Neodiprion lecontei: one gene and its partners. The main gene of each other region encodes a partner of the protein of the gene in region 4 in a complex. Links are inferred from orthologs where the notes say so. Each region holds a gene or a part of one and is shown on either strand. Other genes may lie near its edges. The genes, in order: bromodomain-containing protein 8, histone acetyltransferase Tip60, dynein axonemal assembly factor 10 and ruvB-like 2.

Region 1 (9,104 bases), on a different chromosome or scaffold from region 4:
TAATCACAGTTTAGGCTTTTTCTCAACTTTTCGCTGTCGATTTCTAAAATTTTACTTGCGCTTCGATTTTGACGGTGGGCAAAATTTTTGCTCCTTGTATTCATCATTATCTATCAACTCGGTTGTTCGAGGCACGTTATTACCATGAGGACAAGATGACTGTGTTTGACTTTTGCGTCTTCTGGATTTAATTCGCAATACCGAAGTGCCCGGGGTTTTTATTTGTCTTCTAGAATTTGGACAGTGTAATCCAGATGCTAAATTACAACCGATGACTTTTACATCGAAAGGTGGTCTTGACGCGGAAGCCTTAACGGTTGGGCGGTTGCTTAGTTCTCTGGATTTTTTAGTCAAGGGTGAACCTTGCTCTTGATTGCATCTCCGTCTTCTATGTGCTAGAAGTTTCAAACAGTCGTTTCAAAATATGACGTCATCACGGAATTTCGGCCATGGTTAGTTTTCAACTTTCACTGTGTAAAGAGAAATTGAACTACAAATTTCCTTTCTCTTTTCACCAAGTATCGAATTAGGAAACAATTCTTTGAATGACATCAATACCCTGGAGTTTGCATGCTTCATCAATACATCTGTAATAGCATGAAATTTACCACCGTGACTGATCGGTGACATAATTTTCATACGAATGCCCGGATCAGAGTTGGAGCTGGATGATTGACGAAGAAGAGATCTGCTCCTTTTACGAATAGCAACTCGATTTCTGTATGCCACACTGCGTCTCCTCCTCTGCTTGCAAACCAAACGCAGCCTTGACTCGGAACCGCTCAATTCGTCTTCGGCCCAAAATTGACGGTCAGTATCGTCGGCTGTTGGTGGCATTGGCAGTGCTGGCTTTGACAATAACTCTGATGAACGATCATTACAGATTTCTATAGCTAATGACAAATTTCATGTACGAAAAATCGATTTGGAGGAATTGAAAGTAAGAAGCTAAAGTTGTAATTGCTAGAGTTTGATTATTTGGAAAACAAACTTACTGCTTCTCCGGATGTTCCTGGTACGGGAAATCTCTTCTCATTGATGTTTAAGTGCGCCATCATTGCATACGTGATAGGAGCGACATGTACAAAGTTGTTGTAGACTCCCTGTTGAAGTTCTTCTTCTTCGGAGCTGCAGATTGCGTTTTTACAATCTCCTCTAGCATGGTCACCCATATCTCAGAATATATTTATTAAACAATTGTTCACTACTGTAGAAACTTTATTTTCGGTTTTCAGTCATTAGTAAGAGAAACTTGTAAATTTTGACATGTCCTAGAGTCATCTTATGGTCTGCCAAAATCAGTATTTAAGAGTAACTTCTGTTGATTCTTTTTTTTTTCACTGCTTCATGAATTGTGACATTTGTGGTCACGAAACTATGAAGGGTGTTCGATATGTAGAGATGGAATTTCTTCACTTCACAATTACCTCGTTCCGTTTTAGAAGCATTCGATGCAATAGAAAAAATCACGAAAATCGTTGGCCAGAATTCGAATCAATGTAAGTACGCTTTCATAATTTTCACAAGTATTGAAATAATTGAAATATCCATGGTTCATATTAATGAGGAAAAATCCTTTTTCGACGGCTGATATCAGAATATTATGAATCAATAAAAAATGTAACACAAGTTGTGGAGATAATTCTTCTATATTATGGTATATACAGTTGTGACATATTGTCCATGAGGCGTACTACACTTTAACACCTTGCAGTACTGTGGACAGTGCAATTTTCCCGATAATGTTTTTGTACCTTCAACCGGCCGCAAGCTAGCAACTTTGTCCACAAGTTGGTGAAAGGAATTTGAACACGATATACGTGAAACATTATCAAGCAACAGATCGACACTTGACTGTTTGAACGTATTAATCGTTCTCCGATTTTCTTCGTTTCTTAGTGCGTGCACTGTCAGAGTCATGTGGGCTAGGAGTTATGTGACTTCTTTTTCGCTGCGGTTTTGCAGACGAATCGCCAAAATCGCTACTACTGCTAGCAGCTGTTCTTGTTTCTCTTCTAAACGGTCCCTCGCCGGTGACTTGTACTAATATCTGTCGAAAGGCAAAATAAAGCACTAAATCAGTGATCTCAAGTTTCCAGGCTTCAAATAAAAATGATTCATGGCGTGGGTTACTCCCGTGCCAAATCCAAGTCAGAGATACATGCCCAGATATACTACCGTGCTGAGTGTTATGGCTGACTGCCAAGCATTAGTCTATCCAATATTTGTCAGTTGTAAAGATAAGTCATTTTCTTATTTTTGACCGAGAAAAGACTTTGCAAGATATTTTTTTAAACTGAATATTTACATCTGGAATTGAATTTATCGCCGTTGATTGGAATGCTGTACAACACGTACTGATTTTAAAGAACAAATCCTCTTTTGAAACTTTCTTTTGATTCTAAGTATTTTCTCTTTTCTGGAACAGCATAAGACAGGTAACTCGTACTCTCAATTACTTCGCATAGTTATGCATCCTTCCACATCAAACTTGACAACATCGCAACACCCTTCGAAATTTTTTCTTTCCGACAAAACGGCGACCATTTGAAGTTGAGATTCGATTTTTCATTCATTGTTGATCATTTTTTTTATTCAATAAAGAAACAAAACTCGAATGTTGAGAATAGAGAATTGTAGAGATATAAATCCGCAAAATTTACCTGCTTTTGCAGCTGTCTGCTCGTATATATCTATATCCCCTTAAGCTTTGACTAATACCAAAAACAGGTTAATACAATATTTTCGTAAACACACCTGCATGTGTTGCAAGCATTCTTCTTGCATGGAAACAGCCATTTTGTAGACAAATGTATCCTGTTTGTTGTACATAATGGCGTTTTGGAACATCAGCATAACATCTCGCTGGAAGTGCATTGTAGACCTGATGGTTCCATTGTCAATGTTCTTTTTAATGGTTGACAAATCCATGGGACGGAAAATGACCGAATGATAACCCGGCGCTTGATCTTCCGTGATGGGCCTCAGAAATACAGACGCATATTTGTGTGTGACCAGTCTATTAAATACCAACATAACAGCTTTCTTCCAAGCACGGTAATCGGCACCTTCCCCACTTCCTTCATTCTCTGGTTCACTGTCTATCGTAACAACCGGCCTCTTGGAGTAGGTTTTCATGGTGCGACCACCACTCAATTTACTCAACGAAGATTCCTCCTCGTCAAGGTCTCCATCGTCTGCGATTCCAGTGACCGGCTCTTTTTTGACATCTGGTTCAGGTTCCAAGGTTTCTTTTATTACCGGTTTATCCTCTGGCATTTCATTGTCTCTTGCCACCTCGTCGTTCTTCTCCGTAACAGATTCTGCATCAATTTCGACTTTAATTTTGTTTTGTTCTTCTGCTTCCACAGTTTTCTCAATAACCATTTTCTCTGCCTCCTCTTTTAATGTTGACTCTTCGGTCTTCGTGGGCTCCAGAACATCTGGAGCTTCTTCTTTCACAACCTCCACAGCTTCCGGTATAACAGGAGGATTTGGATCAGTCCCTGATACGCCGCCTACCTCTGCCACCTTGTCGTTGACTTGATGAACTATCACGTCGATAGAGTCTTTAAAGCTCTCCTTCTTGTCTTCTTCCTTTTCCATTTCTTCCGAAACATTGTCCTTGGACTCAGTTGTTGATTCGTCCATGACGATTGGCACGTTCTCGGTGACTTTTACCACCACATCAGGTTCCTCCTCGGTTGAAACGGTGGATTCCTCAGGACACGACTCAAAAGTGTCCACCATATCTGATACCTGTTCTTGAGGAGGTGTTTTGTCCTTGTTTTGCGACCCTTGCGAACTTTCGTCATCTTCTAAAATCAGACTTATGTCCTGAGATTTCTCCGCTTCCTCTGCACTAGCTCCATCGTTTGAAGTCTCGGACGATACACTGGCGGGCGCTGCCTCAGCCGATTTGTCTTGTGGGTCCCCGGTTATCTCAGCAAGATCCATTTCCAGTTGATCTATTTGCGGTTCTTGTTTAATCTCCGATTCCTGAACAGGCTCTTTCTCATCACTTGTACTGTCGCTTGTTGTATCCTTCTCAGCTTCGATGAGGTCAGTTTCTTCCTTTATCGCGTCTTCCGTCACCTCTGGTGTGGCACTCTTCTCCATATTCCGGTCTTCCGACCCTTTTGTATCCGTCGGCGTGTTTTCGTTGCTTTCAGACTCTTTTCCTTCGCTTTTGGGACTCAACTCCACTTCTTCGGTAGTATCGTCTCCTTCATAAGGGGAATTCCGAAGTTCCTCTGCTAACGATTCGTTACCCATGTTTTCCTCATCCGCATCCCCAGCCTCTGATTTGGCTTTCTCTTCAACCTTCGGCGATTGGCAAGTGACCATTATTTTCGACTCCGTAGATTCTACAGCTACGGTTCCAATGATTTCCGCGATATTTGACGTGCTTGAATCGATATCTTCTATTGCTAGTTCACTTTCAGGTGAATCCGACAATGATACTGGCTCATCGACGTTCCGAGGTTCTGGACGAGGTTTCGGGCGAGGTTCGGGACGCTTTGAGACAGTTTCTTGAACCGTTTGTACAGTCAATGGTTCCACAACAGTGGCCGCGGATGGAGTCTCGTTCGTTCTTGGGCTTGAAGTGATCTCCTCTTTGATCAGCTCCTCAATATCTCCAATGATTTCGTTTATTTCATCTTTGTCAATAACGTCGGCCATTATATCCTTCCCAATAACTTCGTCTATATGGTCTATTATCTGTACCATACTCTCTGTTACCGGGATGTTCTGAGATACCGATACCGGCGGTGGAGGATTGATTACTTGCAAAACACCTTCGGATGTTGACGGTGCGTTGGTTGGTAGAGAAGAATGAATTTCGGGAGGCATACTAAGCTGCGTTGTTACCGTAGAGGACGGTTGCAAGTTTGGTAACGGTCCACGCTGCGGATTTGCCGGCAATTCCAAAAGCATAGAAAGCGTTGGCGCACCAGCTGAAGGTCTTTCGGGTGGCGCGTTTGCTATTGCGGTAGAGACCAATTGCTGCAATTGGGAAGAAACATTTTGTGCCAGACCACGATCTAGCTGGGAACTCGGGACCTTTGGACTCGAAACTAGGAGACTGGCTATGGTAGGGGAGCTAGCTTTTGTTGGCGTCGGTGGTGTTTGTACTTGAGTCGTTGGGCTGGTGGACTTTAATAAGCTCGTCAGGAGCGGCGATCTGCCCCCTCGTTTCTTTTCATCCTCGTCATTATTCGATGACTCCGATACAGAAGCATCATGGTTTTCCATCACACTGTCTACCGCTTTTCGGTGGACAAGTGGTGGCGGTGTTATCATAGATTCTTGCTTTTGTTGTCGTTTGGTTAGCCATGCGGCGTATGCTCTGACTTTTTGCTCCTGTTCCCGTTCTTCTTGTTCAATGACTTGCCACATTTTCTGCAGCTTATCGTCGGATAAGGGGCCGCATTTTAAAAGGTTTACTTCCGCTTTGAGCTGCTGATATTCGTCTCTTTGAAACGCAAGAATTTGTTTCAGTTCCGCAATTCTTTCCTGTGTTAATCGATTCACTATGGATTCAGCTTGCGTTTCTCCGCTCTCCCTTTTTTTCCTTTTCGGAGTATCCGCTGTTTCCAACAAGTGTGAATATTGAACGGCACAAGACTTTTGAGAAAACCAATCAGGTGGTCGCAATGCTTCTTTTTCAGCAAACGGCTCCAATGATTCGGACACGGCTTTCCAATTCTGAACATTCTCCCCAGAATACAATACGCTTGCAGCCAAGCATAGCTGCTCTCTTGTGCTCCATGTATCGTACGGAACACGTTTTACTTTCATCCCTACGATTGCAATAATTTATTAATAGTTGAGGAATAATCATCTCTGGAGACTTCCATGCAAGAACAGCAATCCATTTAACTAAGACTTGGCAAGTATCTCCAAAAGTAAATTGTACTTTCAAGCATGTCTCCAATGATTATCATGTTTAATTTCTTACATAGATACATTGATTCTCTTCAGTGATGATTGGCAATGCTTTAGAAATACAAGAAAAACTTGTTGGTGTGTGAAAATTAGAGATTTAAAAATTTTGTTTCCAAAATATGTGTGAGTAAAAAAACTGAAAGGAGAAATGGTTGTCTATAACTACGGCTTGAACCTGGAAAATATAAAGATTCTCGAAACATCAGTCCAATTTGGAATACAGTTAAAAATAAAAGCTTGGTAAAGTATCAATCGCCTTTGTCATCCAATTCGAATGATATTGTGGTTATGTTTGCAATACACAAATAAAATCGGTTTCGCGTGGAAATCTCCATCTGTAAATTTAGTCTAAATGATTTCGAAGAAATAAATACTAGGATTAATCAGTGTTTTGTGACAAATAAAACCGTGAAATCACCGTACACAGTTGAATAATAAGTCGTTTGTGTACTCTAACCTAAAAACTGTGAGTAAACGAAACGGCAAAATTAGTGAATATACAGAGTCTAGGCGATAACTTACTGTCCTGTGCAGATGCCATGTTGCTACTAGTTCTTCTTACATGTGTGTCTCATTAACAATTCACTGAGTTTCTTGGTCATTCATGTTTTGATACAAAACGTACCGCAATTCTCGTTCAGTTTCGTGCACTTCTCAGTTTTCATTTACCACCGGGAAATACAATACGCTAATGCAACCACACAGAATACAGCCCAGTGCTGAAGTTGCGCAGACTGATGCGCAAGAACTTTGTAAGACAGCGAGAGAGAGAGCCAATGGTCGACTTGATAGTGTAAAAGAGATACAAGATAACTGATAGAATTCAGAACACTGCAGGCAATCCCCTATTTTCGTTATAAAAAAAGCACTACATTTAGTTAAATTGTGCTGTAGTGGCAAAGCTGAAGCTGTTTTAAACTATACATGTCCTTCAAAACCAACGAGATAGAAAAAGACGTACATACATGCATAGATCATTTTCCGGACGGCTGTTTCGATTACATGTACCTGGGTGTGTTATTTTGACAATTGAGTATGACAAAAGTCCATTTAAGAACTATGCAGTACCCGTTAATAGAATATTGTATGCTTGAATAAGGAAATACAAGGGACAGATTCCTGTTTGCAACAAAATTCAATCAATCGTCTTTGATCTTCAGAAATAAAGAAATACAACATCTTGACATCTCCACTAGGTGAGAATAAGTAAAATATCGAGAAGTTCTAACCTCTGATAAAAATGTGTTTTATGTTTATTGAGTAAACATAAATCATTACCTGCCTCCTTGATACTTACATATGCTTCGCATTGCAAGTAAAACTTGTGACATACAATTGACAGAATTACAATAAAATGTAAATAGCTTAGATGGGCATAGAAACCACAAACTGAAAAGAAATTAAATAAGCAGATGACTCATTACTGCGTATCTTTTTTTCATTGCAGACTATGTAAAGCTATCGAAATGGGCAAGGCAATTTTATTTGTTTACCTCATCTCGAATTTTTTAATTGTCGCACGATGCAGCGACATAACATCAACGGTATATGGAAAAATTTTGGACAAGATGCCTGCAGCGTTTGGCGATTTCAACTCTGACGAATTGACGGATGTATTTGTGATCGACACGGATGGTAAATCCGTTGAAATTATGCTGGCAGCCGAGCAAGAGCCTCTCCTGAGGCCTGGGGTAGGCTTAAAGTGTACCTTTAATAATTCAGTGACCAGCATTGTGCCTGGGGATTTTGATGGTGACGCATTTATGGATGTTTTCGTAACAACGATAAAGGACGGTCTAACCTACGGACACATTTTGTGGGGCGGAAACGGGCAGTTGAATTGTACACCTGAGTCGAATCCAGTAATTGTGATGTTTGGACAGCCGTTAGCCATCGATTACAACCAAGACATGATTATTGATTTGTTTGGACTTGATGCAAATCAAACAAGAACATTTTGGATATTCAATAAGAATAGAACTTCACCAGCAGTTGTAAAAATGCAATCTAAAAATGGGGATAACTTTGCGCTCATAAGAAAACCACATTCCAACGCGTTTCTAGATTACAATGGCGATTTTATGCCTGATTTATTTATAACAACGGAGAATGGATTTGAAATTTGGCTGGGAAGCGAGGAGAACTTCACTCTTCATCAAAACATCAGCTTGCCGCATAATTTCGCCGTCGTTGGTCAATCTTTATTCTTGGACGTCGAGCTCACTGGCAAAATGGACCTGATTCTACCCGCATGTTATGATGCCGCATGCAAGAACAGCACTATTATGATACACTCAAATGGGTGGCACAATTTACAAGTAGATTTCAAAGATCCTGACAACATTGACTGGGGTTTCTGTAAACCTAACGGGCGGCGTTACACGGATACAATAACTCTGAGAGGCGGCGATTTCAACATGGATGGGTACCCAGATTTACTGGCAACTTTGACAGTTGCGTCAGAATCTGAGCCCAGAACATTCTTGCTTGAGAACGTACCTTGCACAAACTGTAAAGAGTTTAGTCGAAAATTTTCTGTACAATGGACAGCTCTGAATCCCTTGAACAACAGAACAGTTATGGCTGTCTTCTATGATTTTTATCAAGATGGCATATTGGACGTGATTTTGATAGAGCAAGAGGGAAATGAATACCGAACTCTGGCGTTCAAAAATAGCTTGGACTACGATGCTAATTTTGTTAAAGTCATGGTTTTGACTGGGTTATCGAACAGCCTGTATCCCATCACGCCTGGAACACTTGGCAAGAAGAAACGGACCTATGGCACAAATCTACCAGGCCCATCGATCGCTTACAAAACGACGACACAGGATGGAAGTATGCGCATGGCAGTAGCGGCACAATTACCGCAGAGCGCACACTTCTCCCTCAATTTGCCATACTCAACGTTTGGGTTGGGTCGCACTCCAAATTTTATTGATACCCTCACAATAGGGTTGAGCAACAAGTCCCGAGAATGGACACAAATTATTCCCAATTCCCAGATGGTCGTGATTCCGACACCAATCTCTGAACCTTCTAGATGGAAAGTTCAGTTATTTGTAACACCCAGTAAACTGATCCTATTGAGCGTTGCTGCATTGACTGCAACTTGCGCTCTGATTATTGCCATAATTTTTGGACTATATTGGAAA
Region 2 (7,506 bases), on a different chromosome or scaffold from region 4:
TAAACCCTCTATATATCTCATTGTCAATCTACTTTTAAAAAAATCGCTTAACTGCCCTAGAATACAAAACAATACGATTAGTAAAGCAAATACTTCTATATACACAAGATTCTTCACTATTAATATACACTCCACGATTTTCATCTACGCGCTTTGAGCGCCGGCCTACAAATGCCACGCTTTCTCTCAGGATCAAAAAGTATCAAGTTGACGCTCAAAAGACGCGACCAGACTTGAAGATTTCCCTACTTGAAAAAAATTACGTCACTTTTTTGCACATACTGGCGAAATGGATGCACAAAAGTTACGATCGCTCGACTCACATCATGTGAATCAATACCGGGAGGGAGATTGGAAGGGCATGCATTACTGCGTGTCCTGGCGGCCGGCGGTCCTCTTTGACGCGAACCTTCGAGTTTTGCCCATTCAGACGATCACAGAGATCAATTGAGTTGAATAATAATTGATAATGACAGAAGGAACCACCCAAAAAAAAAATGTTAAAAAGAAAGACACAGATACGTACATAAATATCGTGACGGATCCCGAGACGATCACCTACCTACCCGATTACCCATATTCGATCTACGCGATTCTCCATTCTTTGCAACACACATCATTCTTTCTCATTTGCGCTGTGTTCACTGTGACCTACTTTTTTCGTTGATTACCTCTAGGAAGTAAAATGTTTTTGACCCCTGTCTTCTAGCTGCAATGCTATTGTACTTAAAAGAGTTACGTTCAAAAAATGACAATAACGTATTTTAGACGCAGGTTTCAATCAAATTAGTGGCAAGCTTACATTCCCGCCAACCCTATCCCTATAGTTTGTATTACTTTAATGGTTGCTGGTGGACTATCGGTATATGAACTATTTGTAAGATGGATCAGAAATTCCTATGGAATTTGATTACGTTACACTATATCGAACGTTGAAATTGCATTGATTCAATAATCATGTGAATATGATTAAACAATAGTTGGAATATATTAGAACCTCAGATAAACCCACTTAAACCGTTTAAATCGCCATGCTACGTTACAAAGGGGACCAAGGAAAACACCCGTAACCTAAACGCATGCTAACTCACCGGGGTTGCCGAGTAATGGAGAAGTTACTCGGATGTCTCTGCTTCACTCTGGAAAAATAAAAAAATTAACTCGAATTAGTTTGGCAAACTGGATTTTCAGTACTCAAATTAATTATTACTGTTATCTACGTCCATATTTATTCACTGAATGTTACACAAAGACAAAAATTCGTCTCTCAATGTGCCACCTTGAATTATCAAACAATAATTAAGATAGGTATTCTTACCTTCTCCAGGTTGCTCCACACTTTACATGCAGTAGTTCTTGTAGCATCTCAGGTTGAGTGGTGAGGTAACGCCGTATTTACACTGCAATAAGAAAATAACAGAAGATTACTCACACAATATACTTGGACTAGATTTCGCGTGACGGTTTTTTTTTCCATATTATCTCAGTGGTGGCTGCTGCTATTAATAAATGACATGTAGGAATGAATAAAAGAAAGCTAATGAAATGAGCACAAGTAGTGAGTAAATGCACAAAATCAACGAGCAGCTAAAATCATTTACAATCAAAAGCGACATTATAAACAATAATCATATCAATTACGTACCTTCCAATTTTCTTCACTGTAGTGGATGGTTTAGTTTTCACTTTGTTCTCAGAGATCGATTAATCGGGTTACTTTATTTACTTCATTGCTAAATGCGGTTAATGGTGCTGCAGTGTAGTTTGTTCCTGTAATGGGGTAAGATATAACATTTCATTATTATTTTATCGTTTAAATCAATACACGTAGCATTGGAAATGCACCATAGTTTTTATAAAATATAATCAAAAAACTAAACAGCAATAAATTGCGAATAAAAGATCAATTTTCCAGAGTGAAAATAGTGTAAAAGGATAATCAAGGATGAAATAAAACGTGTACCTGCTTTGCGATCTTCCATAACGTTACGACCTGTTCGGTTATTGTATTTTGTTTCCCACATTCATTGCTAAGGTCAAACGATTCAAACTTTAGCTAGAACCTCAATCGATCTCGCTGCAGCTTATTTCTGTAATCAGATCAAAGACCACCCATATGATTTAAATATTTCATATTCAAAATCCATATACTCACGACCAGTGTTAAACAAACGGAATTGTAGTATGTTACATATTACGCTAAGCCTTGGAAAATTTTATCGATTGCCTAAATAATAAAGTGAGAAATAATTTTCATTGTTTTATGCCTGCTACCTTTATGCAATAAATTCATCTGTTCAGCTACCGCATTACATCTTCCAAGATTTATTAACAGGATTTTACAATCCAGCTAATTGCTAACATTAATCAACTTTGTTGCAATCTGTTTCTCTAATCAGGTAGGTTGACGCAATATTTTGTTCATAATATAACTTTAAAATCGATCTAAGCAGCATTCAAAATTTACCAGACTTACTCAAAAAGACAATATAAAATATAAACAACAATCAGCGATTCGTCTTCATTCATTTTTTTCATTAGCGATTATTTTATAAAGTATAAGATGTTGAGTGTAATTTTAACATGTCACCTTATAAGCTACCGACAAGGTCACGACAATTAAAGTCACGAAATAAATAGTAACGCTGTAACGCGTCAACCCTTGTTGCATGGAAGTACGAATCAAAATTCTCAGAAATGCCTCGGTGTTGATAAACAAACGAAGGTCTGTTGATTCGCGAACGGTGAACTGCGCGAGTCACCGCGCTACGCATTATAGGGACGCGAGTACAACTACATGTTAATAACGAAACTCTTTCATTCAGCGTACGTTCCGATAGACTGTTTTTTACGGCAAAATAAACCAAGTCATAATAAACGTGCTAAAATTGCATTTTACAAAGGTCCGTTTGATCAGAAATTGAGAGAGAAAATCGCAACAGAGAATTAACGGGACATTCTCTCGTCACAAAACGCGGTGAACAGTCAAACGTTTGCCCGAGAACAATCTGAATGTGTCAACGAACTATCTAGAAAACTTCAAAATTTTAGAAAGAACTCAAATCACCTTATGCAGACCAAATATTGCGGTACGAATTCTAGACGATCAACGCACGTGGCTCTGCTCCTGCTGCTCGAAAGCGAATGACGCCGCTCACTTACGGAACGAAGTTTCGGGCTGCGCGCGGCGAATGCGCAGAATGCGGCCCGCGTCGTACAAAATTGCTACTCTCCGCAGCGTCAGGCGTAAATATGTATTCTGTATTTTCTGTACTACATAATCTGTAACGCATTTCGGAATTAATTAAATATTTCGCATTAACGCAAAATTAATGGAAAGTACGAGACGAACCGCAAACCTTGTCTCTTTACAATATATATATTACCGGCAACGCTTGCGTTTAGTGAAAGGGTTCTGTTCTGAGCCAAGAATAGCGCTAGTGTCTGCTCCCCGAAGTGTATGAAAACAACATTGTGTTTAGTGACAAGTTTTGGTCAAATTCTGATCAAAATGATCGAGGAACACGATGAGCGGGAGACGATATGTGATTCAGTGGTAAGTAGAGCTGTATTACAACTGCGAAGGATATGAATATTTGACCCCGGAGCAAACGTTGGATGTAATTGTGAATTTTACTAATTCTAACCTCAATTTCAGTCATCACTTGTCGAGGGTTGTCGTTTGCCGGTCAGGATGCAAGACGGCGACGACTGGCGTAAGTTACTTGTAGCCCTGCAAAATTATTTAAAATATTTGGAACTCGTTCCGCTGCCCTCTTCGTTTCTCACACAACGTTTTCTTTTACAGCGCTCGCTGAAATCATCAGCGTCAAAGAGATGCGAGGTGTCAAATGCTACTATGTCCACTATGTGGATTGTAAGTATTCAATTACTGCAATTAGATGACAGGAAACTTTGCAAACATGAATATTCCATAAAACGTATCTTTGTATTATCATGGAATAGCCAGTTGATTAGCTTTTCTGTTAAAAGTTTACTGTCATTAGCCATGAAAACTTGAACTGTCACTGCAAACTTGATATATTTGAATAGTGCACATTGTTTCCCTTCGATATGCCACTCCGAACAACAGGAAATTAAATTATTTCAGTTAACAAACGATTGGACGAGTGGGTGATGGAAAATTGTTTAGATACGCGGAAAGTTCAATTTCCAAGGCGAGATGGTACAGCGCCTGGAACGGGGGCAGCGACACCAAAAAAACAGATTCCTAGCAGGCCGCCGAGTCCAAACAATGTGATACCTGAGCCGGTCAACGGTTCGGCAGTACTGCAGGCAGCGTTACAGAAAAAAATTTCTAGAAAAAGAAAAGCTACATTCTTAGAGAACGAGGATTCTCAAGAAGCACCACCGCAACCTGTACCTGCGGCTACCGGCCCAAGGTCTACCGGTTCACTGGTAGCGCATCACCACGATGATGTTGTAACTAGGATGAAAAATATAGAATTAATTGAATTGGGAAGGCATAGGATAAAACCATGGTATTTCAGCCCGTACCCTCAAGAAATGGTCAGCCTCCAATGTATTTACATATGTGAATTCTGCCTCAAGTATCGAAAGAGTCGAAAATGTCTAGAAAGACACTTGGCAAAATGTAATTTAAGGCATCCGCCTGGAAACGAAATATACAGAAAAGGCTCGATATCGTTCTTTGAAATAGATGGAAGGAAAAACAAGAATTATGCTCAAAATCTTTGTTTATTAGCAAAGTTATTCTTAGATCATAAAACTTTATATTACGACACGGATCCCTTCTTGTTCTATGTTATGACACAATTCGATAGCCGAGGTTTTCATATTGTGGGATATTTTTCGAAGGAGAAAGAATCGACCGAGGATTACAATGTCGCTTGTATTTTGACAATGCCTCCTTACCAGAGAAAGGGTTATGGAAAACTGTTAATTGAATTTTCTTATGAATTATCGAAATTTGAGGGTAAAACTGGATCTCCGGAAAAGCCACTGTCCGACTTGGGGTTATTGTCGTATAGAAGTTACTGGGCCCACACGATACTAGACATTTTACTAAACGTCAAACCCTTAGTCGAGAATGAAAAACCACAGATAACGATAAACGAAATATGTGAACTGACGTCGATAAAAAAAGAAGATGTCATATCAACGCTGCAAAATTTAAACCTCATTAATTACTACAAAGGACAATACATCGTTACGCTTAATAGGTAAGGAGACAACAAATGATCGATTTCATCATCTTCATCGTGATCTAAACTTCTATGAATATACTTGACATCTAACGTTGAACGAAAATTAGTGGAAAAATCATTGAGTTATGATTGTATATTTTCACAGAGATATAATACAGCAACACGCCGCCGCAATGGAGAAGCGTCAGATAGGAATAGACCCAAAATGTCTTCATTGGACACCAAAAGACTGGAGCGTCAGAGCGAAATGGTGAACAAAACTAATATCTTGCAATACAAATACGCTAATGTGATTTAAAATTCGTTTCAGGAATCCTGGAACTGATTATCTACGTCACGCAAGCGTGCAAAATTGTACATAACTCTCGAATTTGTGGGGCTTTTTTTCTCGTTTTAAACCTGCTGTGTCTAGTTTCAAAAATATTGCATGATACATATACACCATATGTATGTATATAATATTGTTAGATGTAAATTCTTATACTTGTACAGATAGAGATCTTGTTAATTATTCATTCCATATGTGTTTTAAGTATAATTGGTTTGCCAACGCTCTTTCTTCTATATTATTTTATTGTATTTAATAATATTTAATAATATAGGAATAACGATAATTAATAATAACAATAATAATAATTATAAGACAACGGCCAGAGCAGTTCGACGTCGGTGTGGTGCGCTTGTTATTTGTTCGGATCTTGTATTTTATGGTACCACTCACGATTGCACAGTTATTATATTAATATACAAAATCGTAGAAAGATCATCTATTTGTATGTCTGATCGTCTGTATGCACGGTAGCGTTGAACAGCTCGTGACCAAACTTAAACTGCGTACAACTTGGGCATAAAATAATAAATCTTCGTCTGCGGCATTGAAGAACAAGCAATGTGGTGAACTTGACTAGATTAATGCCGTCAGTAACCGTATAGTAAGAATGAAACAAGAGAAGTATGCTCAAAAAATGCGAATTTTAGTCTCGACAAGGGAATTCAAAGTTTTACAAATACTATTTTCCTTTTATACGATATGGAAATTGCTCTCGTCACTCAATTTATTCCGTTTGCGTTTCTTTTTCCTTTCAAATGCATTGCCCGGCTAGTTGCCCACTGTTTAAATCCGTTAATACCAGCATTGTCTATACGCTTATTTTTAATTACACCTAAGACTATTTTTAAACGTTGTGGTCGAAAGGTGCAAAGGATCTTTGGTCTGGACATTTCATTCATTCAATAGGTCCAAGTGCACTACCCCATGCATTGATATTAATTTTCTCATACAAGTACGTCAGGCACCAGAAATCAGTGTAGCATGGGGTAAAAAAACAAAAATTATAATAATAACAGTGGTAAGATGTCTACAAATTAAGTATGAACCATAATTACTATCTTTAGTTTATTACAACGTTTAATTGAACCCCTACAAAGTGTTTACCGATTGTAGTATAGTGCCATGGCGGGCTATATCAAAGTTGTTATCGATTATCTGTAAATTGTCTTATCATTGCGTATTTTTGTCTGTATTAAATTTCACGCTTATAGGAGAAAGGAAGAGAGAGAGAGAGAGAGAAAGAGAGAGAGAGAGAGAGAGCGAAAAAGCAAAAAAAAGAGACGCTATGAGAAAAAAAATTATGATTTACAATAAATCAAGCTCATTTCGATTTAATTCGACTAGTTACTTATGTGGTGGACATCAATTGTTGACAGAAAAAGGAGGAACGAGAAAAAATCCCTTTTTTCATAGATTTAATCTACGAACATTGTCAAAATCTTTCGTCTTGTATTTCAGCAAATGTGAAAGATGTTTTTTTTTTTTTAGATTAAGTATTCAATCATGAACGGCGAATCGTAAGATTTATCGACTGATTTAGTCTGTACCGGTGTAAGGGAAATGGAAAATTAAGGGTGACGATGTACAAACATGTATATTAATTGTAATATCAACGAAGCAGTTGCGCAAATTTTGTCGAATATCTTTATACATATAGCTATAAGTATAATTATCTATCTAAATGGCAAATATTCATGAAACTGGACACAGAAATTATTTAATATTGGATAAGTACACATATATATATAAAAGTATATTATATATATATATATATATATATATATATATATATATATATATATATACAAACACATGTATAAAAAAATTTTAAGGCGCATTATCAATGAACGAAATGACTATTATAGCGATAATTACATTACTCTATACAACTTGTACAGCGATACACTTTGAGAGTGTAAAATTGTAAATAAATGAGATTTTATAAGAATGCTGAGATGGGTCTCATTCCTCTGTAAGAAAATAAGC
Region 3 (5,841 bases), on a different chromosome or scaffold from region 4:
CAAACTGCCTAACGCTCTGCTCGGTTCCTGCTCTTCTACCACCACCGGCTGCATCGGTCGGCTAGCCGTCAGGATCGGGAGGAGAGGCGGTTTCACGGAACAAGGGGAGAGGTAGAAAAGAGACGAGAGAAAAGTGGGGAATGAAAGAGAGAAAAAGAGACAGACACAAAGCCGGATAGGAACCTTGGGAGATTCGAAATATTTCCAAAATTCGCCGGAGGGAAAAAGTGGAATGGAAAAAAAAAAACCGTACGAAACGATGATTCCTTTCCATTATCATGGGGAAAAAAGTAAACCACAATTTCCAACACACGTAGAGACACGCACATACGCATGTAAATCGATCTTCTTTGCCTGGGAACCAACCAATGAAGAGATTATGAACAAAAAATGAAAAGATTAAAAAAGTTGAGGCAACTATCACCAGCGAGCTGAAAACCTGCGCGGCAAACAAACGAAAAAAGTAACAGCCAAGAAAGCAAAACTCGTAGTGTACAGAACGTGTATGTGATCTGCCTGCTCGACTGAGGATCGAAAACGAGTATCTTGATCTCTAAATGATACCTGCGTGGCATAATACATGGAGGAAAGGATAGAGCCTGCAATGAGGGGGAGATACAGGAATGAATCACACGATGGCGCATACTTTCGATAATGCCTTTATAATGATGGGTTGTGGAAATATCCCCCCCCCCCCCCCCCCTCCCTCTGCCCCTTTAGCTCCGCTACTCTAAGAATATATCCTGACATTATTATCTTCCACCTGCGGTGAAAAGAATTTTTGACTATTCTCCGCTGTTTGGGATTTCTTGAATAGAATTAAGTAATCATTTATCGGCCCGTAAAAGCTGCAAAAGCGAGATAAATAATTCTGGGAAACTGTTGCAATAAAAGATACAATGCACGTTTTTATAAAAACACAATAAAAACAATGGAAAAATTCATGTCTTACAACTATTATGGAAAAATGTGTTGTTTTTACTCACTCTTGGCGTCGTTGGGGTTTTCGCACCGTAGAGCTCCAAAATATCTTCGTCATCACTGGGACCAAGTTAAGGAATCTGCTTGTTATTTTGAAAAGTATTTGTACCAGGTCTGGCAGTTTGGCGAATTGAGTTTCCAAGGTTTACGTGCAAGAATTTCAACTCAATTTGTTTGCAAAGGATACTTGTACTGTTTCATTGAGTGAGAGTTATACACGGCGAGTTTCGACAGTTTGGCATCAGCCTTTGAATTACCAGCGGAGCCCATGTCTTTCTTCAACTCGTTTCTTTCCATCCGCAGTAAATACTCCACAGTTGGGTTGTCGCCTCGGCACTGTGACACGCTGAATGCCATCCATGTTTCGACCAGCGCTTCTTCGTTTAAATTGTACAAATCGCAGAGATCGAGACCTGCGGAGGATCAACCATGTATTAGAAAATAGACTGTTAGCTATCAAAATGTAGGTAATCGTGCATGTGATCAGTTTTCCCAAATCAATTTTTCGGATTTCGGTAGAAGGGCCAAAGAAAACAGTCTACTAAAACGGTACGGTTTCTTTTCCAACCCCCAAAATTAGCGAGACGCGTTTCGACAGATATCGAAATTCCTCCTGCAGGATTTTAACTTCTACGTGCGAATGACGAACGCGAATGCTGAGATTTCGATACTCACATTTATTGAGAGTCGCCTCGTCGTTAACGACGACTCCGAAGACAGCGAAATGCTCCTTCAAAGCATCCTTCAACACCATCTTGTTGTCTGAACTCTGACCGACTGCTCTCTGTTTTCCCGCCAAATATATTTACGTACCTCGAGGTCTCTGGAATAACGAACATAACCTCACTCAATATCACGCTCTCACTCCATCGGTGTCTCTGTTTTTCCCTCCTCTACATCATGACTTGAGAAGGACAAGCTAACCATGCAAGTGCACGAGGCTAATTATTCAATCGTAAAAAACACCAATCACACTGCTATTTGAGCGATAAAAAATCTGCCGAAAAATCAACGCGCATTGTATCAACAAGAAGAGAAACAAGTGATTGTCGGCGACGCGAAACGACCGTTGTAAGTATTCAAACTTTCCTGATTCAAACTCCTTATTCTTCTTATCCTTACGCTCTGATTGGCTACTAGTCACATCCGGTGCTTCTCCACTACGCCGTTGATTGAAAAATATAAAGACGCGTATCGCTGAGCAAATTTTCCTGACCTGGGAGCAGAGAAGTATTATGCATGCGAATACGCTCATCTCCGAAATGGTCTATTAGGATTTGGCATTCCGATAGTACAGTAATGTTTATTAATGCTTTGGAAATCCGGCTAACTTGTTTTCGGTCCGAAACAAAATGCGAGTTTGTTTCTATAAGTATTATATGACAATGACTGACAGTGCTGGAGGTACCAGAGAGATTGGGAGTCATTGTCACATAATTCATATAGAAAAGAACTCGGATTTATATTTCGAATCCCAAATAAGTTAGCCAGAAGCCCAAAACTTTCATGAACATTATTGTACAACAGAAATGTGACTTTGACCATCGGTAGATTACTGCGAAGTGCTTACCACTTGATGAAAATCGCAGAAGCGATAAATAAGGCATACAGCTAATAGGAGGCGTTGGTATTTGTTTATCGCGTGTTGGCAGTCATTTAAAAGGCTGTCTCCTCGTGTCGATATCGGCTGGTAGAATTTCGCGGCTGAAAGTGCAACCAAGTCCGTATCGAATGATTTAAAAATGGATAAACTATCCAAGCCGCAGATAATATGTCACATCGAAAAGTCAGTGAACTATTCTTTGTTCGACGCTAAGTGGATACCAAGCAGCGCAAAGTTCGTCGTAATGGGTTCGAGGCCGCGAGGATCTGGCGTTTTTCAAATATACGAAATATCCAGCGGGGAGCTTAAGCTGATCAAAGAGATCGAGCGCTCTAATCCGATGAAGTGCGGCACCTTCGGAGCGTCAAGTTTGAGAGAGAGATACTTGGCCGCCGGAGACTTTAAGGTAAGAATCTGAGCCGCTGTTACCAGCTCTTTACTCGCTGTCGATTAACAATTGATCATTTTCAGGGTAAACTGAATATCTACAACCTGGAGGATCCTGCGATTCCTATTTATTCGGCAAATGCTCACAAGGAGATCATAAACTCCATTGACGGCATCGGCGGGCAGACGATAGGTTGCGGGGCTCCTGAAATCGTCACCGGCTCCAGAGATGGCAGCGTCAAAGTCTGGGATCCGCGGCAAAAGGGGCGGCCAGTTGCAGTAATGGAACCAAATGAGGGCGAAGACCGTAGGGACTGCTGGGTTGTCACTTTTGGCAACTCGTACAACTCTGAAGAAAGGGTCGTCGCGGCTGGCTATGACAATGGCGACGTTAAGATGTTTGACCTAAAGGCGATGGCTCTCAGATGGGAGAGCAACTTGAAGAACGGAGTTTGTGGATTGGAGTTTGACAGAAAAGATATCGCGATGAACAAACTGGTCGCCACCACTCTTGAATCCAAGTTCTACCTGTTTGACCTGAAAACTCAACATCCCAAAAAAGGATTCTCTTATCTTTCAGAAAAAGTAATTTGCAGTTCAGTTGTTTTGCTTGTAATTTTGTCAAAATAACCAGAAAGTAATTATTACCCTTTTATAGAGCATTGCAACAAGCCATAATCCGACTTGATTTCAGGCGCATAAATCAACTATATGGCTGGTACGTCATCTGCCCCAGAACCGAGAGATATTCATGACGTCGGGAGGTGGAGGATCGCTATGCCTTTGGAAATAGTAGATAAATTTCATTCACTCAAGTTCATAATTTCCTAACAAATTTTTAGTCGAATGTTATACTCACAATGTAAAATTTCTGTTCTTGTGTGCCGCAGCCAATATCCTGAAAAGCGAGTGACAGCAGACGCCGATGGCATAGAGCAGGGAGTAGTCGGTTCAGTATCTCTGCTCCAGAACAGCACGCTCTCTTCTCAACCAGTCAGTTCGTTGGATTGGAGTCCAGACAAGCAAGGACTTGCCGTCTGCACTGCGTTTGATCAATGCCTTCGTATCATAATCACCACGAAACTGAACACGTACTGAAAAAAAAGAAAAGTATCATTTTCTGCAAGATTTTTTTCAAATCTGTCCGGCTCGTTACTCTTTGCCGGCTTTTCGTACATTCCATGGTATATGCAGGATTATTAGCAGTATCATCTAATGGTGGGCAGAAAACCGTTCACGAGAATAAAATGGAAGACGTAAAATTGTATCAAGTTGGATGCAAAAACTTTGAGACTCAGTTCTGCGATTGAATCTAGAAGGAGAAAATAATTATGGAACCCAATAACGTATTTGAGAGCTCTCAGCACAGTACATTGTAAATAGTTTCATTTCTTCGCTATATATATGTACCGAATATCGCTGAATAGAAGAGCTTCGGTAATATACGCGGAAAAATAAAATAAAAGACTCTAAGACTTCCATCGATCACAAAGCGAGTTGTAGTATTTTTGTTTTGTAGATACAATTCAACGAGATGGGAGAAGAAAAGAAAAAAAGGTGTCAATTATTCTTATCGTATAATTGAACACGATGACGTGGTTTTTTTTTTTATCGATTTTTATAATTTCGATGTAAATAATTTACCATCAAAATGTTCGGGCATTATTTGATTCCATAATGCGTAGCGAATTACCGGTAACAGGGATACAGAGAGTGAGTTACGAGAGTATAGATATAGTGAAATTGTCTATAGACGAGCTAGGTAGGTAGGTAGATGGGTACAGGAATAAGCTACGGGAGTTTCTGCGCTGTTCTATCGATTTTCAAAGCCTGCGCAATTATGCAACAACATTAGAAACCAGAGACAGAACTGGGCACGAAGCGGGAGTGAGATGAAGAAAGAACGAGGTGGGGGACATGACCGACTACGAAAACACGTATGTAACGAGTCTAGGTGAAGGAGAGAAGAACAGAGTACAGAGTTTCGAGGAGGAGGAGAAGAAGAAGCAGGAGAGGAAGGGGTTGCGCCGAGATAAGGGGAATAATATGTTATTGGGGCAGTCTATTTGTAAGCAACCGCTTATTAACGCCGCTACCGGAGTCGGGCGGCCATTCGGCGTCGTTACGCAACGGCCATTTTGGTTCCGCTGCGACCGCGTCGTGTGATGGCATCCGAGTCCCGTAGCATCTCGATCGCTCGCCTAGCTTTGCTCTTTGCTCGCGCACCGCACACGGGCAGCGTGAAATCGAGGGTATTTTACCGTTGTGTTGAAGCGGGCACAAGGCGTGTGCGTGAAACACGGGATTACGGATATGCGATCGTAGATATTACAGCATTTACGGCGTTCACCAGCGCCGGCCATACTCGATTCTTACTAAGGGACCTGGCGATGATTTCTACAACCACAAATAATTTTATGGAAATTCGAACGTTTCCTATTTTTTTAAATTGCATTGGCTTGCAGAGAATGAAAATCTACAAGTTTTTGTGAGAAACTATTCATATTTTCAATTTAGAAATTACTTTCACCAAAGGGGGGGGGAAGAGGCGGAATCCGTACGCTCGCGGTACCCGATGATTTCATTTAAATAGCTAGCTGAGTGGCTCCGGCTGGCTCTATTCAAGGTCACGGATTCCGCGACTTTAATTACATGAGTTATCCATGCTCCGTGTACCCACCCGTTTAACCCACGCAGGGTGCAGCCAGCTTTGCTGCGGCCAATTATCGGAGTGAAATGGACTATTAATCACGTTGAAACCTTGCCCACGTTACACTATAAAGTCAAAATTTGTCCGAGAGAAAGAGACAGATAAACGACTCGTGCAATATTTTATCCGAAAGACGTCTCAAATGACGATTATTAAGTTC
Region 4 (7,216 bases):
GGATAAGACCAAGATATTAATTAATCATGATATTATTTTTTGCTACTGCAGATGTTGGCGAGAATATATTGCTGTCAATATTTTATTAATAGTAGTTCATATTTTTTGTTTTTTTATTTTTCAGCCAAAAAAACGCAAGACAAGAAAATCGAGTAGTCGTTAAAATTTTTAACATTCTCCGCGCCTACACATGAAGCACCTTTTTAAACGGAGACACGTTTACAACGCTCGAGGAATGGAGGATATCCTACTTCACTTTAGCAATCTAAGATTTAACTTTGAATTTATCGAGGGTACTAATAGTATTCTAACAACCGAAGTTTACGGGAGCAATTTAACTGACATTTACCAAGCTCAAGCCTGCGGTAATAGGATGAAACATTGATTTAACGCAATCAGTCGAGGAAACCTCTCGCACCTTTGACACGGGAATTTAAAAAAATAAGCGTAAGCGTTAGATTAATTTGAAATTAAGTAATCCCAGTTCTAAAAAAGTATTGTCCAAACGGAAATAGAATAAATGAAAAACGATCGATTCAGTACTGCAAACCAAAGCTTGAAAAGTTTTACTAGCGTTGGATCAATAATATGATAATAAAATTGTTTTTTTTCATTTGTTTTTGGTGCAATTATGCCTGAATTGACTTCGAGGTTGGGTCTAATCATAGAGGAATAGAAGCTTTACACCAAAAACTAATTTTTCTGTACAAACATTGGTTTTTTCAAATCAATAACAATTTTATCCGCATAAGTTTTGCAATGAACAAATTAGGTAATAATATTCTGTTGCGCATTTCAAAGATCTATTGGCTACTCTAAACCCATTTCATTTTTGTAACTGATAAGACTATGTACGTACCTAATAGATTACGAATATAGAAAAGTAGAACAAAATCTCGAATATTTGCACAGCCCAATGTTGGTACAGACACTATAACCAGTGCTTTATATTAAAATAATGATAATAATATATACGTATAATCTACGATTATTTAAAAATGCAAGATTATATTTTTTATATTTTTTATTATTTCATAATAAACCGTCGTGTAATTATTTATATACTTGTATGCTCGTACGTGATGATAGCAAAGTTTCGCACGCCATATAAAGGTAAATAACACAAAACCAGCGCGGCGAAACGGCGAATTGTACTGGAATTACAATACCTGTGTTGGTAGATCTATATTTTTTTGTTCAACTCCGAACGTGCGACTTTGTCAACTCCATCAAACTTTAGAAAGAAACTCGATGAATCCAGTCAGTTATTACGCAACTTCCATAGCTTGTTCTTCTGCGCAAGTAGAAAAAGTCATTTCATAACGGCACATACAATATAAACACGGAAATGATCAAATTGGTTCTCATTTCATATTTCAATTTTCTTTCAGTTTGCAAGCATAGGTATGTGGAAGCTCAATCTGATAATAAGTATTTTGTGTGTGTGTGTGTGTGTGTGCGCGCGCGCGCGTGTGTGTGTGTGTGTGTGTGTGTGTGTGTGTGTGTGTGTCTAAGGACAATAAGTAGTTGTTTACACTCAGAATCAAATATTTCGTGTCTGAATCCATTAATGAATTATTCGAAAAGTAGGTACATCTAATGGTAAGAAAACTTACCCAATTCATTGAACATGAATTCATCTTGGTATTCTTTCAAGAACTGTGAAGATCTATTCTCGTCAAGAAATAGGGAATACACACGTTTCACATCATCAATATTGACCTGCAACGAACATCAAGTATGTACAAATTGACAAGACGACACTTATAATTTTATTCGCATACCTCAGTGCTTTTGCGCTTTCGACTAACAAGCGACGCAGTGGTGATCAACTGAATAGCGTATCTAAGCGACGTCTCTAAGGCTATTCTCGTCAATACTGTCAAAGCATCGTCCGCCATCTCACAATCCTCCTCCTCGCATCTAATTTTGAGAATTTCTTTAAGATCTTTTTCTTGATATGGACTTGTGGGCACGATGATCATTCGATCCAACAGATCAATCGGTATACCGTGAGGGCTTTTGTAAGTCGTACCTCTAATCCTTGTGATTCCTGTCGATTATTAAATGCCGTTAATGGAATCACTGGTGGAGTGGAATTATCGATTACATTTTCTTTGGGTAAGAATAAACTGAATCTTAAATAAATATAAAACTCTACCTCTATTAGTGGCCATTATAACGACAGGTGCCATTTCATTCTCAAGGGCTCTATTGAGGAATGAAAAGCACTCGATATCCAGCATGTGTACTTCATCAATGAAGAGAACACCAGGTACGATTTCAGCTTTTCCTTCTTCTCGCCATTCTGCAACCTTAGCATTTATCTGATCCCGTACTTCAGACTTTATTTCCCCCGTATCTCCGGAAAACAGTGCCAAAAATCCGTGAGTTCTGCTGTTAATAACGTCAACTTCGTGCAAAGTAACCGTATGTACCACTTCCTTTCGTTTTTGGAGCTCTCCTTCTGGGCATTGAACAAAACGGGTTTGTGATCCCGTCGCATCGTAGTCCCGAGCTCGTGTGAACGAACGGCCAAGTCTGTTAATTTTTCCAGTGGCTTTATCAATCGTTATAACATCTCCAGCTTGTACCTTTAATGGAAACATTTTTCATTTAAATTTTGTCGATAATTTATAACTGTTTTCACTTTACTTACCTTTTCCTTCATCAGGCTATCAATCATTTTATTGCCCAGATCGTAAATGGTTTCCATCTCGGTTGTTTTCAATGTCAACTTTCCTACTTTAGCGCCAACACCGGTAGCTGGTCTGTCAACTTGAATCTCTACTACCTCCCCTTCGATAATTTCCGTTTCCTCTTTGATTCTCACTCCAATTGATTTTCGTATCGCCTGAGTTAAAGCTTCAGTTTTACCCATTTCTAAGGAATAAATCTCCGAGCCTGCCATTGACGTGAACGGAGTATCTAGACCAAGAGCTTGGGCCATTCCCATCGCAATTGCAGTTTTACCAGTGCCCGGTTGTCCAGCCAACAAAATTGCTCGTCCTGCGATCTTTCCATCCTTGATCATTTCGAGCACAACACCTGCTGCTCTCCGAGCCATGAGCTGGCCCACCATACCTTGAGAAACCTGCGAGTAATTCATCTTTGTTGTAACGAAATTTGTACATGATATTTGCTGAATTCCGAGTTATTGATACAAGGCTGGGATACATTGCAAATATAATATATTATTGTGAATCTTACATTGCGCGGCTCTAAACTGTCATCCAGTCCCAAACCTCGAATGTGAGAATGAGCGCCAATGCGCTCGATTCTAGTGATCTCACGAACTTCTTGCACCTTTGCTGCAGCGACGGCCTGGAATAAAGTTTTTTTTGTTACTGAATTTGGTTCTTGGATACCTTTAATGTTGTCTAATCTAAGTATAAAAAAATAACAACCAACGGATTGTCAGTGGTAAATGTGATCAAATGAATAGTTAGTGTGATCTTCAATTTTTAAAACATGCCGCAGTAAACGATTGCAATAAAATTTAGCATTGAATCACATTGAAATGACGGAAGACTGTGTTGATCGTCGCAAATTTGTAGGTTACCGTTCACGCGTGCCAAACGCCGCATGTCGACACGGTTATGTTTTGAAGAAGAAGGTTTTTTGAAAAGACGAATTTACAGAGTAAGCTTCAATCAATAAGCTAGTAGGAAAATATCAAATTTATCAATCTTTTCGCCGAATTCTATGCGAAAAATAATAATTTAAATGCATAATATCTACGACGCATTTCCACTTACCGCCATGATTTACAACTCTGTTGACTGATCGTAAAGTTGCCAAGGAAACAGTTTTCTGCATGCGCCACGCATCGCTGTAGGGTACATTTTTACGGGTAGCGAAACCTTGCGGTAGTATTTAGCGTCATTTTATTGCCGCAGCGCCACGCTGCGACAGAAAGTAACTAACCGTGAAATGTGTCTGCAGCTCAACGCAACTGCTACCTCGTGAATCCTATTACCAGAATTCAGAAAGCCAAGCAAAGCCAAGTGCACGCCACGTGATCGTACATTGGCGCAATAATTTACACCTTAGCTTAGTGATTCTATGGTGCGGTTTATTAATTTATAAATATCCGATAATTCACTGACTTTAGTATAATTACTACTGATTTGCTTACGCTGTTCGAAATTCAGTCTGAGAAGTAAGTATTTCCAAAATTTAAACTCAATTTTCATAAATCGGTGTCGTCTTTAATAGGTTATGTTTTGCACGCACGTTGTTCGAAATGTTTGAAATACTTGCAGAAGCATCAGAAAGGTAGAAACAATACGTTACGCTAGATAAATTTTACGTACAATTTTTCTTTTCAAGTTACAGGTAAAAATCGTCATCATGAAACGCCGGGAAAAGGAAGCAGTGAGCCTTAAACCGATAATTAAAAAAGCTAAAACGGCTGTCGACCCTACTGCCAAAGTGAATATCATAAAAAGTTCAGATGCGAAGCTAAAGAAGGTGAACATCTCACAAAAAAATGACGCTTTGGAGAAAAAAGGTAAATTCCAAAAACCAACTGCTGCAAAGAAACCTGCCAAGGCAGACAAGTCACAGAAATTGTTTGACAAGATTAATAATAAGAAGAAAAGACTACAAACTCAGGTTCAATACAAATCTATAAATGGTAGCACAGACACAACTGAGAAACCAGATTGGTTAGAGTTTAAAAAACAGAAGAAAGAACTGCGGGAAAAACGAAGGGAAAAAAGACTGACGAATGCGTATGATGTTACCGTCAAAGCTAAGAAGATTGGTGAAAAATTACGCAGAGCAGATTGTTCTAAAGAAGAGCGTGTAGAGCTCACAACGCAGCTATACGAATTACTCAAGGGACAATTTAGTAAACTTGTCTTCATGCATGACATGGCAAGGATTGTTCAATGGCTTCTCAAGTACTGCACTTCTGAGATAAGAAAAAATGTTACTGATGAATTACAGAAAAGTATTGTTCTAATGTTACAGTCGAAGTATGCCAAGAATTGTGTCAAAACATTGTTGAAGCATGGGACAGATGAAATTCGAGCTATGATAATTGCGGCGTGTAGTGGCAATATAGTTAGGCTAGCAAGCCATTCAGTATCTGCACCAGTACTTGAACTTGCATATTCATCTTGGGCGACCGATGCAGATAAATTATATTTTAAACAAGAATTTTATGGTGATATGTACAAACTAGCCAAGGACAGTCAAATCAAAACACTTGCTGATGTCTATAAGCTTGCAGGAGATATGAAATCTGCAACTCTCTCAGCTGTCAAAGGAAATTTGATAAAAATACTAAATAAGAAGCTGATTAACACCTCCCTTGTACATTCTGTGTTGCTTGAATTCTTAAGGAATTGCACCAAAGATGATAGAGATGAAATGATCACTATGGTCCGAAGTTTGATTGCAGAATTATCTCAGACAAAGGATGGTGCTAAGTCTGCAATGATTTGTTTGTGGCATGGTACAAAGAAAGACAGAAAACTTGCGATGAAGGCATTGAAAGATCAAGTCAAGAATGTGGCGACAAACGAGCATGGTCATATGGTGTTATTAGCTTTGTTTGACTGCATTGACGACACAGTTCTCGTGAAGAAAATGATATTGACAGAATTGCTGAATGATCTGACAGAAATTGCGTCAAATGAATATGGCAGATGCGTAATTCTATATCTTGTTGCTAGAAGGGATTCACATTATTTTCACCCGAAAGTAATCGAACAACTTAAAAAAGGTGATGCCAATGAAACTAGTAAAAAGCCACCAGAAATACGAGCAAAAGAGCTATTGGACGCAGTAATTGATAAGTTGTTAGAAACTGTTACTACAGAAGTATCGACATGGCTATCAAATAGTTCAATATCAATGGTTACGTTGGCAATATTGAAAGCAGGGGATGGAGAGAAGCTCAAAAATGCTCATGAAACTATTAGAGATTATATAACAGATCCAGAATCAGTAATAATGGAAAATGAAAAGGAACAGAAGGTAATTGAATCTTCTGGGCTTCACATGATGCTGAAAAAATTGATACAGAATGATAAAATACTTATTGAAAACAAGAAGTCTACCTTCGGAGAGGTATTGATTGACAAATTGAACCCAGAAGTAATGAAACAATGGATTGAATTCAACAGAGGCTGTTTTCTACTCATAACATTGATAGAAAATAGTGGTGAGACCACAGCCAACATTGTATTAACTAAACTGAAACCTCTACAAAAATCTTTAAAATCTAAAAAAACACCAGGAGCATCTATATTATTAAAAAAACTCAAGTAATGCCTCTGTGTTGAGAGCATCAAATGTGTGTTTCAAAAAATGTACATTATTTTGTTTTAGTTGTTTATTTCAAATCTACTATTTGCAATGATGTAAGCAACATTAGATCTTATAAATATAATGTTTGATTCACATCGTTTTTTTATTTTTTATTTATTACAGACATCGTTTAACATGAAACTCGATTCGAAATTGATTTATTAAATATTTTCTGCAATATAAATAAGTAGGCTAAGTTACATAATTCTTTTCTAAGGGTAACCATGACGCATAACTCATTAAATGTGAATTCATCGTCGTTATACGATACCATTCTATCAAGTTCACTAAAAATTAGCTAAAAATTGATTAAACTTTAGCTATAAAGACTGGCTTGAATGTTAGAGCAGGGCAACAGAATTAGCATAATGAAATCTAGAGGAATTATTCGAAAATTAACTAAACAAATAAGAGTTTAAATTTTGTTTTGTTTTGATTTCACCACGTTAATATTGTATAATTATACGAATAGGCATATATTAATACCAGTTTATAATACATATAAGTAAATATATTTAAAACTTCAATTCCTATCTGATGTTTCTAAACCGTAGCAAAATTTAATACCTTTTTCAGTTGAAAAACAATATTACTAAGTTCACTAGCGATAAGATGGGAATCTCAACGAGTTTGGAGATATCTGCACACGCTCATAGAGCTAAGTCTATTAAACATCATTAACAAAATTAAACTAGATTTTATTATAAAAACATTCCACAAATAGATATTCGAATGATAATGAAATAAATACTCGAATTATCTTTAAACTTCAAATAAACTTTTCCAAAGATTGTTTGACTAATTGTAAAACTACAAGTGCGATTCCTACGATCTTCACTGAGTTTTAGTTTTCGAGCCCCAAGTCACTGATGAATGAACTAACGTTTCGACAATT

Evidence for each region.
Region 1: ruvB-like 2 (region 4) and bromodomain-containing protein 8 share a complex: the UniProt entries of both Homo sapiens proteins name them as parts of the nuA4-related complex. The link is inferred for Neodiprion lecontei from reciprocal best matches to the Homo sapiens genes RUVBL2 and BRD8.
Region 2: ruvB-like 2 (region 4) and histone acetyltransferase Tip60 share a complex: the UniProt entries of both Homo sapiens proteins name them as parts of the SWR1-like complex. The link is inferred for Neodiprion lecontei from reciprocal best matches to the Homo sapiens genes RUVBL2 and KAT5.
Region 3: ruvB-like 2 (region 4) and dynein axonemal assembly factor 10 share a complex: the UniProt entries of both Homo sapiens proteins name them as parts of the PAQosome complex. The link is inferred for Neodiprion lecontei from reciprocal best matches to the Homo sapiens genes RUVBL2 and DNAAF10.

The regions. Positions count from the first base shown.
Region 1 is NC_060266.1:5,247,810-5,256,913, forward strand, and holds bromodomain-containing protein 8, read right to left. Parts: upstream 6,676-9,104; 5' UTR 6,491-6,675; coding exon 6,472-6,490; intron 5,805-6,471; coding exon 2,758-5,804; intron 2,051-2,757; coding exon 1,868-2,050; 3' UTR 1,631-1,867; downstream 1-1,630. Other genes in the region: uncharacterized protein LOC124295608, read right to left, coding at 52-395, 609-849, 996-1,172; T-cell immunomodulatory protein, read left to right, coding at 6,915-6,961, 7,397-9,104. UniProt on the Homo sapiens protein: May act as a coactivator during transcriptional activation by hormone-activated nuclear receptors (NR). Isoform 2 stimulates transcriptional activation by AR/DHTR, ESR1/NR3A1, RXRA/NR2B1 and THRB/ERBA2.
Region 2 is NC_060265.1:23,411,767-23,419,272, reverse strand, and holds histone acetyltransferase Tip60, read left to right. Parts: upstream 1-3,272; 5' UTR 3,273-3,460; coding exon 3,461-3,556; intron 3,557-3,658; coding exon 3,659-3,716; intron 3,717-3,808; coding exon 3,809-3,877; intron 3,878-4,111; coding exon 4,112-5,204; intron 5,205-5,334; coding exon 5,335-5,439; intron 5,440-5,499; coding exon 5,500-5,551; 3' UTR 5,552-6,496; downstream 6,497-7,506. UniProt on the Homo sapiens protein: Catalytic subunit of the NuA4 histone acetyltransferase complex, a multiprotein complex involved in transcriptional activation of select genes principally by acetylation of nucleosomal histones H2A and H4.
Region 3 is NC_060266.1:1,917,855-1,923,695, forward strand, and holds dynein axonemal assembly factor 10, read left to right. Parts: upstream 1-2,556; 5' UTR 2,557-2,723; coding exon 2,724-2,990; intron 2,991-3,055; coding exon 3,056-3,556; intron 3,557-3,619; exon of another isoform or gene 3,620-3,665; coding exon 3,666-3,763; intron 3,764-3,830; exon of another isoform or gene 3,831-3,851; coding exon of another isoform or gene 3,852-3,861; coding exon 3,862-4,069; 3' UTR 4,070-4,457; downstream 4,458-5,841. Other genes in the region: DNA polymerase alpha subunit B, read right to left, coding at 987-1,041, 1,169-1,394, 1,657-1,735. UniProt on the Homo sapiens protein: Key assembly factor specifically required for the stability of axonemal dynein heavy chains in cytoplasm.
Region 4 is NC_060263.1:34,673,746-34,680,961, reverse strand, and holds ruvB-like 2, read right to left. Parts: upstream 3,897-7,216; 5' UTR 3,765-3,896; coding exon 3,759-3,764; intron 3,325-3,758; coding exon 3,211-3,324; intron 3,095-3,210; coding exon 2,660-3,094; intron 2,595-2,659; coding exon 2,162-2,594; intron 2,122-2,161; exon of another isoform or gene 2,054-2,121; coding exon 1,785-2,053; intron 1,723-1,784; coding exon 1,617-1,722; intron 1,295-1,616; coding exon 1,269-1,294; 3' UTR 1,007-1,268; downstream 1-1,006. Other genes in the region: uncharacterized protein LOC107218712, read left to right, coding at 125-156; protein penguin, read left to right, coding at 4,354-6,282. UniProt on the Homo sapiens protein: Possesses single-stranded DNA-stimulated ATPase and ATP-dependent DNA helicase (5' to 3') activity; hexamerization is thought to be critical for ATP hydrolysis and adjacent subunits in the ring-like structure contribute to the ATPase activity.